Linked DNA regions of Kluyveromyces lactis. The protein of the gene in region 2 interacts with the protein of the main gene of each other region in a pairwise test. Links are inferred from orthologs where the notes say so. Each region holds a gene or a part of one and is shown on either strand. Other genes may lie near its edges.

Region 1 (2,405 bases), about 310 kb from region 2:
AAAAACGCTCTCTTCACTAATCCTGAGCTCCAATGACAGCTAATGATTTAATCAGATTTTAGGAGAGTACTAGTCAGTATTGATAAAACAGACACAAGACCTGGTTCCCTACTCCTTCTGTCGCAAGATAGAAGTGTTCATTAGATCTCATCAAAAGCCTTAGATGTTTTTCCTGTTTTTATTTTTCTAGAATTAAAGTACGCGTAACAAAACGCACTAAGACCAAAAAACGTTTTGAAAGAGACTAGATGGCATATCTACAGCTGATATTAAAAAGTGACATAAATCAAAGAAGAATACTGCATATATATACTGAAGGCAGCAAAAAATTCGTTGACGAGATCCAATTTATTAATTATTATGCGAGGGGGCTAATTTAGAGTCGATTTCAATTTAGAAACATTGAATTAGCTGGATCAAACGAGACAAAGTGTCCGGCCTCGAGATACGGCAGAAAGAAGAATTAGATAGTATGTGTTGGTTTGTAGTTTATTTTTTATGTATGAGCACTTCTTTCGTATCAACATATTACGCAGCACCCGTGACCTGGTTGTTTATTTACCAAGAGACTTGTCCTTGTGGCTACTTCGAAAACATCATCAACGTTTTCTCCTGTCAATGCACTGCATTCCATATATTTTTTAGCACCAATGGCCCTGGCAACTTGCTCCGCTTGCTCCCGTGTTACCATCTGATGTTCATTATCCGGTGATCTTAAGTCTTTCTTCAACCCAACTAGTACTACTGGAGCTTCAGGGCAATATCTGAGAACTTCTTCTGACCATTTATTTCTTGCATTCACCAATGATTCCGGGTCGTCGATTGCAAAACCAATGAGAATTATATCGGCCTTTGAATACGAGAAGGGCCTTAGTCTTTCATATTCCTCTTGGCCAGCTGTGTCCCATAGTGTTAGTTGAACTTTGATACCGTCCACTCGACAGTCGGTTACATAATTCTCGAAGACAGTTGGATGATATTCTTCTGGAAACTGTCCCAAAGTGAAAACATATAACAAAGATGTTTTCCCACATGCTCCGTCACCAATAATAACTAGTTTCCTTTTAACTGGATTGGTAGACATATTTTATGATATTGCATAAGTTTTGCAGTGATACTGCGTCTTTCTTGATTATGTTGATAGCTAAAATTCAAAAACCGACAAAGTTTGGAAAACAGCGTAGTGTAAGATCGTGCCAGAACAGAGAACTGCTTCAAACTTTCAAGTACCCAATTGCAAATAGAAAATTAGGGTGGCACGTATACATGCAAATAAAGGAAGATTCGACCTTGTTTCCTTCGAGCGTACGCTATGTTTATTCTTCGAAATCAGTTTCTTATTTCTTTAAAACAGCAAACCTTCTATTTTTCTATCTTTCAAGTTTCATTTTTTCTAGCCTTTTTCAAAGAGCCTTTTATTTTTCGAAATGATATCATATTAATGTCTGTCATGTTCCGCCGAGCAGTAGAAGCCCGAAAAAGAAAGGAAGAAGTGATCAATGAGACAGTGTAATAGATAGGACTATGCTTAGTTATTAAAATTAATTATAGCCCTGTTTTTGAATGAGTTCAAATATTCAATGATGATCTATCAATTGATGGTGTCTGATTGAAAAAAAAAAGATAATAGTGTTGTTACATTTATATTGGACGTTACAGTTCTACGTAAAACGAAGAAGGAATAAATTTTAACGGATATGTTCTCTTTTCTATCCACTCGTTTAAATAATTTAGTTGGATCGGATGATTCAGCTCCAGATATTGCCGGTTTGATATGAGTTTGGATACGATTGACCAAAGTTCACGAAGTTCGAAGGATCTGATGCGATTGTTGACGTTGGGCCTGGAATTGGATTCCCGTGATTCGCTGGTGAAGTAGTAGCTGTTTGGTTGTAATGAACATCGTTAAATACCGATGATGGTTGAGGTAGCGGGTTCGATATAGGAGTTGAAACTGAGTTTATTTGCTGCGAATCTGACTGAACTTGAGTGGTTGCATGAGGGAAAGTATTTTGTCTATTATAAGAAGGCAATCCTGATGGTACTGGAACAGAACCCATTCTGCAGTACGCCAATAAACCCGTGTTATCATTCAAAAGTTCAGTATTGTATGAATTCTTCATGGAAACCAAAGTGGAAATGAATTGGGGATACGACAGTACTGATTTGGCATTAATTTGAGTCAATGATGTTTGATATAGCTTGTCCAAGGGAACGAAACTATTGTCTGGAGAAAGCATCTTATAGGTCTTGGCTAGGACTTCCTCATATGAGTCAACAGATGTTGCTGCAACTTGGGAAGATAGCAGGGTGTTCGGAAGTGCTGGAGTAGATGTAGGTGTATCCCAGATATTCGAAGCAAAATTGTTAGCAGAGGCAACACCAAAGGTATTTTCAGCTCCAGT
Region 2 (3,591 bases):
AATAATAGGTTCAAAAAAAACCAGTCACATTCGTCCCCAGAGTCAGATCCACCATCCTTAGTCATTAATTTCAATCCGGCCCTAAAAATGAAAATAATAGCATCCTCAAGGGAATTACTTCCTTTAAGCACACTAATCAGTACATTCAAGAAATGTATGCTCAAAGCACCAAGGATTTGTTTTCCAACATCGTAGCACCAAACTACCCACGTTCTCTTGGGATGCTCTGATTGTCTTTTCAATAATAACGAACATATTATCAGAAAGGCCATCAGCAGTTGTATGGCAATAGAAACTGGACCTAATAGCTTACATTCGTTGTCATTTTGCATAACGAAACAAGTTCCCTTAGTGAAGGCTTGTGTTGCCTCAGCTCCTACCCAATGGTTTTTATAGAACTCTTCAATTCTTAATCAAAGTCTGTCTCTTGTGAAAGGCTTCAAATCCAGCAGGTAAATTTTAAGGTTGCCATGCGCTAAGACATAAAATGTTTTGCCCGGGTAACTTAATAATTACCTATAAACATGGTATTTATTATACACATATGCGGTACCTTAAACTTATTGGAAACATTGATGAGCTATATCTTTGACTTCTTTAGGGATTGTAGAGCATTTAGAGGCTATGACCATGCCAGCAAGATACCTACCATTATTCCAGATTGCTTTTGCAGCTGTTTCCGTTGAGCTTTTGGTTGACAAAGATGCTTCAAGAAGCTTAAAAATTACATCTGAGTACTTGTCAAACACTTCATCTTGTTCGTCTGTTGGGGTTTCATTTATATATATGCCCGTAGACCTTAATATATGAAATGTGGTGAATGGATCTTGCAACAAGTTGTCTAGAGTTATGTTTTTACAATATTCAAATACTTTCTTGGCCAGCAGATCAACCGACAACGGGCTTTCAAGATCACGCTTTTTAGCTAATTTGTCAATGGCCTGACAAGATAATATTATTCCTCTATTAGATAGCACTTCAGTAAATCTTGGTACAGCAGCTATCATAGTTGTCAGGGTCTTTGCAGTTGACACGGCCAATAATTTTTGTAACAACATTTCTAATATTGGAGAGAGACCTTGATAGTAATTTGATTGATCATGGCAGATAACTAGTAGCTGACTTAACTGCGCCAATGTCTCGTTTGGAGTGAACATTATAATATCTGGTTTAAGTAACTTTCTCAACAAAGATAACAAACCTTGGAATTGTATGGGGTCTCGAATTGTTGTACTTGATTTGACAATAATGTCGTAAGATAGTTTTTTATTGATCTCATTTGCCTTCTGAGCATCAGAGACGTAATTGGAAATGACTATCAACGCTGATGCAGCGGCGTATGATGACTTATGACATTGTAGCAATTTGATGGAAATATCGACATCTTTCCCATTGGAGTAGGATTTATTACTAGAAACGTTAGCAATAGAAGAGAGTATCTCCCTATTAATGATCAACTGGTTATCAAATTCTTTTGAGCCTAGATTTTCGAGTGATGTTAATAGATTGTGTTGGAGGATAGAAGTGTTGACCTCATCGGAAAAATTGTAATCCTCAGGTTCAGAAGTCTTCAATATACAATGTGAGATATTATTGACCAAGCTGGGTAAAAATGTATCTTCCTCTTCATCTTCAACTTCTTCAATTTGCGCATCATTTTTCGAAGTATCAATTTCTCCAGAATTGCAAACTGCTATATTGGAAGTGCTTTCAATGCATTTACAGACTTGAATTAAAACTTCAGAAAGGGAAACGAGCTGAACCAAAGATAAAAACTTCTTATGATCTACAAAGGAGCATAAGAGGTCAAAAGAAGTTCCGACAAGTAGGTTGTACTGTTCGTCTAGAAATACATTTTTCATAGAAATAATCAATTTGAAAAGTGGGACAGCTACTCTTCTTGCTGCTCTTTCATAATAGGTATCGTTATCCATGGCCAAGTTAGAAATTAAAACAACTGTCCTCAATTGCAATTTAACAACGTAGTCTTCCTCGTCAAATAGACCAAGTATCCTGCCAGCGTAGTAGTCGATAAATTCGTTATGTTTGGTACAGTCGCCATTCCAAAATACCTCCCTATTAGCATCATTATCAACCAGGCAATTTGCAATGGATCTTACTAATTCTGAAGAGATTTGAAGAAATTGTATCCGTTTACTTGATTCTTGGAATGCATAATCCAAAAAGGAATTTAGTACCCTCAACAATTGACTTAATAGACCAGTTTCTCTAATAAGGTCTCTGTTTGATTCAGCACGTAGATGCACCGCTAATTGTTCAAGAACTGTAATATAACTTTGTAAAAAGACGTCCTGGACAGGAACATCCTTTGGATTAGCTGCATTGAGCAATGGTTGCAAACCAAATAGTATCTGCTCATATTCCATTTTTGGACAATGGACTATGGGCTTTAATCGTGGTTATCATTTTTATAAAGTGGACAGTCTCGCCAAGACCGCACTTTCAATGATCGATCTTTAAACATACAATTGCTGACTTTTTAAGATTCTACTCATAAATGTCAACAACACACATAGGTAAACAAGAAAGGTAAGGTCATAAAATAATACTGGTTTGACAACCCATGACTAGAATTCTCTCGAATATTATCTTGATTATGGCATGAGTTAACAGGACTCGGTAAGTGACCTTCTGTAATAGGTCAGATGACCTATTATTTCATACACATAATAATACTTTCGGTAGCTGCAAACACTTTTAAATAGTGAAAAATCGCAAAAGTTGAGCATTAGTAAAAGCATCGACTAATTGCTAAGAAACTAATAAGGTAAGTAATATATTTCACATAGTCCATCTATGAGAACATATCCGACGGCTTCAAGAAACTATGGCTAATAAAAGAAGGCCAAAGAAAGTAAAGCCTCCTTATAGAAAATATGTTGGCGGTGTTGGATTCACACACACTCAAGGGTTCAGTCAAATAGCTGAAGAAAATGACACAACGAATATCCAAAAGTTTAATGAATTACAAATAAACGAAATACGTAATCCTTCTGATAGCGAGGAATCACGACTACAGGGAGATTCTGTCCGATCAGATGTAACTGATTACGGTGGTATGAAGCTTCCACTAGAAATATTTGACCTTACGATTTCTATGATGAGTCCGCAAGATATCAGGATGAACTTAGTGCTAGTGTGTCGAGCATGGTATCTTATATGCATACCAAAATTATATCGTACACCAAAGTTAACTAGTCGAAACTTTTTAAAGTTTGTGGAAACGGTATTGGCAGATAGGAAGAGAAAAACATGTGAGCACGTAGTTCATTTGGATTTATCTCCTATTATACAGAGTGGGAAGAATAGCTATGTGTCAAAAGTGCTACGACGTTGCTCTAAAAATTTGGTTTCATTTACAGCGCCACAGACTAGTTTTGGAATAGCTCCTTTGATCAGTCTTAAATCCTGCCAAAACCTTAAATACCTTGATTTAGGATTGGTATCAGAAACAGTCAATTTAAAAGAATTATTCTTGGCGATCAAAAACTTCCATGAGTTAACACATTTATCGTTTCCAAGAAGTTCCATTCAATGTGACGGATATAGAGACTTCCAATGGCCCCCAAA
Region 3 (3,326 bases), on a different chromosome or scaffold from region 2:
AAATCATGTATAAGTTGTGGAACTAAAATCAGAGTGCGCCCAAGCTCTACTAAAAACTGGGCAATTAAAAGACTTTCCTCGTCACTTAAACGAATATCTGTTGTCCCTATCTGGTTACTCATCATCTAAAAGCTTTTCCATCCCACATCTTCATACATGATGTTTTCTTGTCAGAACACGGCACACGCCTCCTGGCATGCTGTGTGAGATAATGTAAAGGAGATTTACTAGGTCATGGTACACCTGGTATCCCTGGTACCCCTGGTACTACCCATTTGGTGCTCAGAAGCCATCCTTCTACCGTCTTTTTCGTCTTATTTTCGGCCTCGAAGTAAGTGGCTTTTATATGGTTTTCGTTCGGGAATTTTTTTCTTAAATGAATGAGGTTTTGCTTGATCGTTAGGGCATCGATAAAGTGTAGCACACGACTAGCAGCCAGTAGCCTGAAATGGTTCGTAATGCTTTATCTATCTTATGGTAATAACTGAGGTATAGGTTAAAGAAAGAAACGAAATATGTAGTTCTATTTAGTGTGCAGGAAGGGACAACAACTTATTGTTCCAATTTGATTCCTTCCTGTTTCAATTGGGCTTCCTTTTCTAGCCTCTCTTCGATTTCTCTTAATTCTTGCTCTCTTTGCAGCAATTCCTGTCTCTTCAATTGCAATTCTTGTTGCACTCTTTCTTCGAAAACCCTTAATCTTTCTTCTTCTAGCTTGATTTGTTCTTCTCTTGCCAAGTAAGTGTCCTGGTTCGATGACGCGTTGTTAGAATGTAAAGAAGTCGAATCATTGTTCCCCAACGCAGATGGTAATCCATTGCCCCTCACAGATTCTCTACCAGATACAGCGGGTGATCCTAGGTATTCGTTGTTCGTGGTGCTGAAAGCTCTGTTATGAGTCGTAGTTCCTACAGTTGGCATCTCACCGGACAAGGCTTCAGTTCTGTATCTTTCGTATAGGATCTCATGAGTAAATTCCTTCATATCGTGTAAATGTGAAATGAGTAGAGTGTTCCTTAGGACGACGAAATCAGAGATGTTAGCATCCTCGACGTCAAGGGTTCCCCATGGATATTTTCTACCACGAATCACGGACCCGTCTGCAGATTCAAACACATCGTTGGAACCGATGATAGAGAAGGGCAGTAAACCTCTGAGATATGTGTTTGTTTGATAATCTTCGTCTGACGCGTCTTCCTCATCGAATGGGAAGTTGTAGATAGGTAGCGAATAATAGTCGATATCCTTTGCGATCAATTTCTTGTTCAATTTCAACTCTTCAGCGGTCAAGGAATCTGCTTTACTGATAACGGGGATCACGTTCACTAGAGTACCTAGTCTTCTGATGAATTCCACGTCAATCTCTTTCAATCCATGTCCAGTAGGATTGATCAAATATAAACAACAATGCACCCTACCATCTTTAAACCGAGGATTTCTCCTTACACGGCTCTCTTCCAACAAAATTTCATCGTACTGGTGACGAATGTAATCAGAGATAATGTCAAACGATGGAGAATTATCCAAAGAGTCGCCGAATCCCGGAGTATCAATGATATTCAATTGGATCTTAAGACCTTCTTCGTCTTCTAACTCAACGATTTCTTCCCTCAATTGCACATCAATCTGCGTATTTGTGTCCGTTGGTAACATAATCGTGGTAGAAGTATCTACCACTTTCTGTCCACATAGAGTGTTAATGAACGTCGACCTACCGCACCCAGACTGACCAACAACCATCACCGTGAACTGAATTCCTCTCTTCAAGTTCTTCCGTTTACGCAAAGCGGCAGATGCCTGAATAATACTTGCCATTTCTGTCTAAATTACAATTGTAGCAGTGCTTTTGTTTCCCAATTCAATACCCCGACAGAAATTAGGTGCTAATAAGACCTCTGAGCAGCTCTTCTGTTAATTGTGTTGTTTACGTGTTAGTTGTTTGTTTAAAGTTTCACGTTTCCGATCTGATTCTAAATTCGTTACTCTGAGGAATCTGGAATTTAGTATGGAGGAAACAGAGAAAGAGTAGGTATTCGACGGTGAAAGAGCATTTGATGGATGATAGAGGGGCTCAGCTAATTGAACAGAGGTTATAGATTGTTACTTGGAAGTCAGATTACGGAATAATCAATCCAGCGATGCACAATTGCCTTAAGAATGTGGATTTGAATGTTGACACATCCGTACATCACATACATATTTATCATTTAGGACGAAATTCGATTCAATTTCTCATTTCATCAAAGCTTTCTCTTGACTCATCTCGAATTGTGATGTGGAACCAGTTAATCATCTCATGTTCAAGACGATTTTATATTTAAAGGAACCCTTAAAGGGCATTGAAATAATTGTAAGAAGAAACTTTCGATAATTTCTTATCGATTGGTTATATTTGGTTGATAATTATCTAGTAGGGCAACTACACTATACTGTGATAAAAAGGAACTAGGTTTTCGCATTAATTTGATATCATGTCCGCTAAAAGAGTTGTTTTGATCGATAACTACGATTCGTTCACCTGGAACATCTATGAATATCTTTGCACTGAGGGTGCTGAAGTTTTAGTTTTCAGAAATGATAAGATTACTGTGGAAGAAGTTGAAGCATTGAACCCTGATATTGTCATGATTTCACCGGGTCCAGGTCATCCAGAGACCGATTCCGGGATATCAAGAGACTGTATCGCATTCTTCTGCGGCAAAGTCCCTGTGTTTGGTGTCTGCATGGGTCAGCAATGTATGTTTGATGTCTTTGGCGGTGAAGTTAGCTTTGCTGGAGAAATTGTTCATGGTAAGACTTCACCAATATTCCATGATGGAAAAGGTTTCTTTAGAAAAGTACCTCAAGGTGTCGCAGTGACGCGGTACCATTCGCTTGCTGGCGCCAAGGAAACACTTCCTGATGTGCTTGAAGTTAGTGCAAGAACGGAGACTGGAATTATTATGGGTGTGAGACATAAGAAATACACTGTGGAAGGTGTGCAATTCCATCCAGAATCTATCTTGACCGAGAGTGGGCATCAAATGATCAAGAATATTCTTGAAGTATCAGGAGGTACTTGGGATGAGAACGCAGCTAACTTGGCTAGGAATGAGCTCGGAAAGACAGCCAGCACTGATAAAGCGAAATCTATCTTGGAAACTATTTACGAAAAACGCCGTGAAGACGTTCAACTGCAATCGACGATCCCAGGTTATCGGTTCTCTGATTTAGAAGCCAACTATAAGTTAGGTTTAGCTCCAAGGGTACAAGATTTCTATGCAAGATTAACTGCTACTGAGAAAACAGCAGTCTTGGCTGAAGTGAAGAGAGCTTCTCCATCGAAG
Region 4 (2,535 bases), on a different chromosome or scaffold from region 2:
TTGAATGATGGTTCCATTATCGGATTCAATGTAGTGATTGACGATAATGTTACAATCCCAGTTGGAACCAAGATTTCAGCGGTTCCAGTACAGAGGAACACAGCTCAATTCTTAGATACAGCACATAATCTTTCTTCCAGCGATGAGGACGAAGAAGGAAGCACATTCACCAGAAATTCATCTTCTTTATCAATCAGTAATTCCGATGAAGTTGCCGATGCGAAGATTAAACTATCTAAGCAGTTGGTTGGGCCAAACGGGAGAGGCGTACTATACGAAAGTGATGATGAGGATGAAGATGAAGATGGATCGACCGAAAAGGGTATTGCGAACACATTAACGTACAGAGACGATGACATTTATTTATCGGATACTTCCATATCATCCATCACTCAAAAACATAGAAAGAGGAGAACCATGTCGATGACTAGTATCTATACTGATTACGAAGGAGAAGAAGACGAAGAAGAAGATTTCGAAAAAGAAGCCATCGCAACAGTTGAAAGAGCTATAGAGAACAACCACGATTTAGACACATCAATGCTTGAACTAAACACTTTGAGAATGAGTATGAACGTCACTTATCATGAAGTCAGGAATGCTTCTGTTATCGCTATATTCAGAAGAGTTTACCACTTTGTAGCCACACAAACACTAGGTCCAAAGGACGCTGTCACTAAAGTCTTACAACAATGGGGTCCTGTGTTTAAGAGACAAGCATTTGATAGTGATGAGTTCATTGATCTAATGAATATCATTCTGGATCGTGTGCTAGATCAGAAATTCGATAAACCAGATTTCATTCTATTCCATGTATATAATGTCTTGTATGATTTGGATATCTTAGAGGAAGATGTCATTTACAAATGGTGGGACTCTGTAAGCGGTGATTCAAAATACAGCGAAGTTACTGCTCTACTGGCCAAATGGGTGGACTGGCTAAAGACTGCAGATGAAGAATCATCTGATGAAGAAGACAGTGACGAAGACGAATAAGTCAATAACGTCATAAATGCCCTTTGAATTTTCATGGTTCCTCCGAAGTTCAAGATTGGTCAATATCAATCAATATAATGTAGCATGTAGCATTTCGAGTAAACGTGAGATAACCATATGCAAAGTAATCTATAGACAAATATACGTACGCATTTCAAGGCTAGTGTCCTCACTACCGGACTGCCAACCGCCTATGCGGTCTTCCTGTATTCTATATGGGAGAGTTTGACTGAAAATAATTCAAGTCACGTTACAACGTTACCCTAACTTCCTTATCTATTAACATATTCCCATTTCAAAATTGAAATAACAGAACAGGAGGACGAAGATATGTATGTGATGAAGGAGAGTAGTCAGACAAATTGGATGTTAGACATAGCACAGTCAGCCGGAAGTAACACCGTAAAGGCCTGCAGTGATAGTAGTATAAAAGCAAGGAAGAAAGGAATTTAAAACATGCAAACTCTTAAGTGTGTTGTTATAGGTGATGGTGCTGTCGGTAAGACGTGTCTTCTAATTTCATACACAACTAACCAGTTTCCAGCCGACTACGTTCCAACCGTTTTCGACAATTATGCTGTTACGGTGATGATTGGCGATGAGCCATACACGCTAGGTCTTTTCGATACAGCTGGTCAAGAAGATTATGATAGATTAAGACCGTTATCATACCCATCAACAGACGTGTTCTTGGTTTGTTTCAGTGTTATATCTCCTCCTTCTTTTGAGAACGTAAAAGAAAAATGGTTCCCAGAAGTACATCATCATTGTCCTGGTGTTCCATGTTTGATTGTGGGTACTCAGATAGATTTAAGAGATGATAAAGTGATTATTGAAAAACTACAGAGACAAAGGCTTCGTCCTATCACTCCAGAGCAAGGTGAAAGGTTAGCCAGAGAGCTTAGAGCCGTAAAATATGTTGAATGTTCGGCTCTTACCCAGCGTGGTTTGAAAAACGTTTTCGACGAAGCTATTGTTGCTGCTCTGGAACCTCCAGTCATTAAAAAGAGTAAAAAATGTATTATATTGTGAAAAGTGATCGGCCTTGTATTTTTTTTTTTTATTACCAGTACATGTATCAGGTAAGAAGTTTCTCACTCAAGGATGAGCGTTCTTAACAATCTTCCCGTTCACCATCAAGTCCAGTTTTATATTTATAGATGATTGTGAGATAGAGAGTGTGTTTCCAAGTTTTTGCAGGTTCAAAAGAGAAAAAAAGCTCTACCCCCCATCTCCAGAAAAAGCGTTACATTTCACTAAACCAACATCCTAAAACTACCAAAACTACTTCATAACTCTTTGACATTTCTATAGACAAACTGAAGTACCAAACGTTTGGTTCTTTGTTTGAATTCTAAACCGTCTAAAATACGAAACTGGTTCGAAGCGAAAAACTAAACACTATGGAGTATCGCTTTGTTTAAGTATAAAACCTCAACGAAATTACTCTTCGTGTGTGGATTTCATTATCTCATGATATATTTAACCTCTCAGGCTTCTAATTGACTTTTAGCTCAATAGTTTATATAAATATAAAAA

The links.
Region 1: the proteins of BEM4 (region 2) and RHO2 interact in a two-hybrid assay, tested with the Saccharomyces cerevisiae proteins (2 studies listed by BioGRID). The link is inferred for Kluyveromyces lactis from reciprocal best matches to the Saccharomyces cerevisiae genes BEM4 and RHO2.
Region 3: the proteins of BEM4 (region 2) and CDC11 interact in a two-hybrid assay, tested with the Saccharomyces cerevisiae proteins (2 studies listed by BioGRID). The link is inferred for Kluyveromyces lactis from reciprocal best matches to the Saccharomyces cerevisiae genes BEM4 and CDC11.
Region 4: the proteins of BEM4 (region 2) and CDC42 interact in a two-hybrid assay, tested with the Saccharomyces cerevisiae proteins (7 studies listed by BioGRID, with this or other methods). The link is inferred for Kluyveromyces lactis from reciprocal best matches to the Saccharomyces cerevisiae genes BEM4 and CDC42.

Annotation. Positions count from the first base shown.
Region 1 is NC_006039.1:1,182,091-1,184,495, reverse strand, and holds RHO2 (Rho family GTPase RHO2), read right to left. Parts: upstream 1,085-2,405; coding exon 521-1,084; downstream 1-520. Other genes in the region: NST1 (Nst1p), read right to left, coding at 1,749-2,405.
Region 2 is NC_006039.1:869,587-873,177, forward strand, and holds BEM4 (Bem4p), read right to left. Parts: upstream 2,388-3,591; coding exon 561-2,387; downstream 1-560. Other genes in the region: KLLA0_C10076g (uncharacterized protein), read right to left, coding at 1-332; PFU1 (Pfu1p), read left to right, coding at 2,849-3,591. UniProt on the Saccharomyces cerevisiae protein: Probably acts as a GEF (guanine nucleotide exchange factor) for the Rho family of small GTP-binding proteins (G proteins) that stimulates the dissociation of GDP to enable subsequent binding of GTP.
Region 3 is NC_006038.1:1,258,255-1,261,580, forward strand, and holds CDC11 (septin CDC11), read right to left. Parts: upstream 1,816-3,326; coding exon 553-1,815; downstream 1-552. Other genes in the region: TRP3 (bifunctional anthranilate synthase/indole-3-glycerol-phosphate synthase), read left to right, coding at 2,472-3,326. UniProt on the Saccharomyces cerevisiae protein: Septins are GTPases involved in cytokinesis that assemble early in the cell cycle as a patch at the incipient bud site and form a ring approximate 15 minutes before bud emergence, which transforms into an hour-glass shaped collar of cortical filaments that spans both sides of the mother-bud neck.
Region 4 is NC_006037.1:381,736-384,270, reverse strand, and holds CDC42 (Rho family GTPase CDC42), read left to right. Parts: upstream 1-1,452; coding exon 1,453-2,028; downstream 2,029-2,535. Other genes in the region: GCD6 (translation initiation factor eIF2B catalytic subunit epsilon), read left to right, coding at 1-996. UniProt on the Saccharomyces cerevisiae protein: Involved in development of cell polarity during the cell division cycle, and essential for bud emergence. Affects signaling in the pheromone-response pathway through the STE20 protein kinase.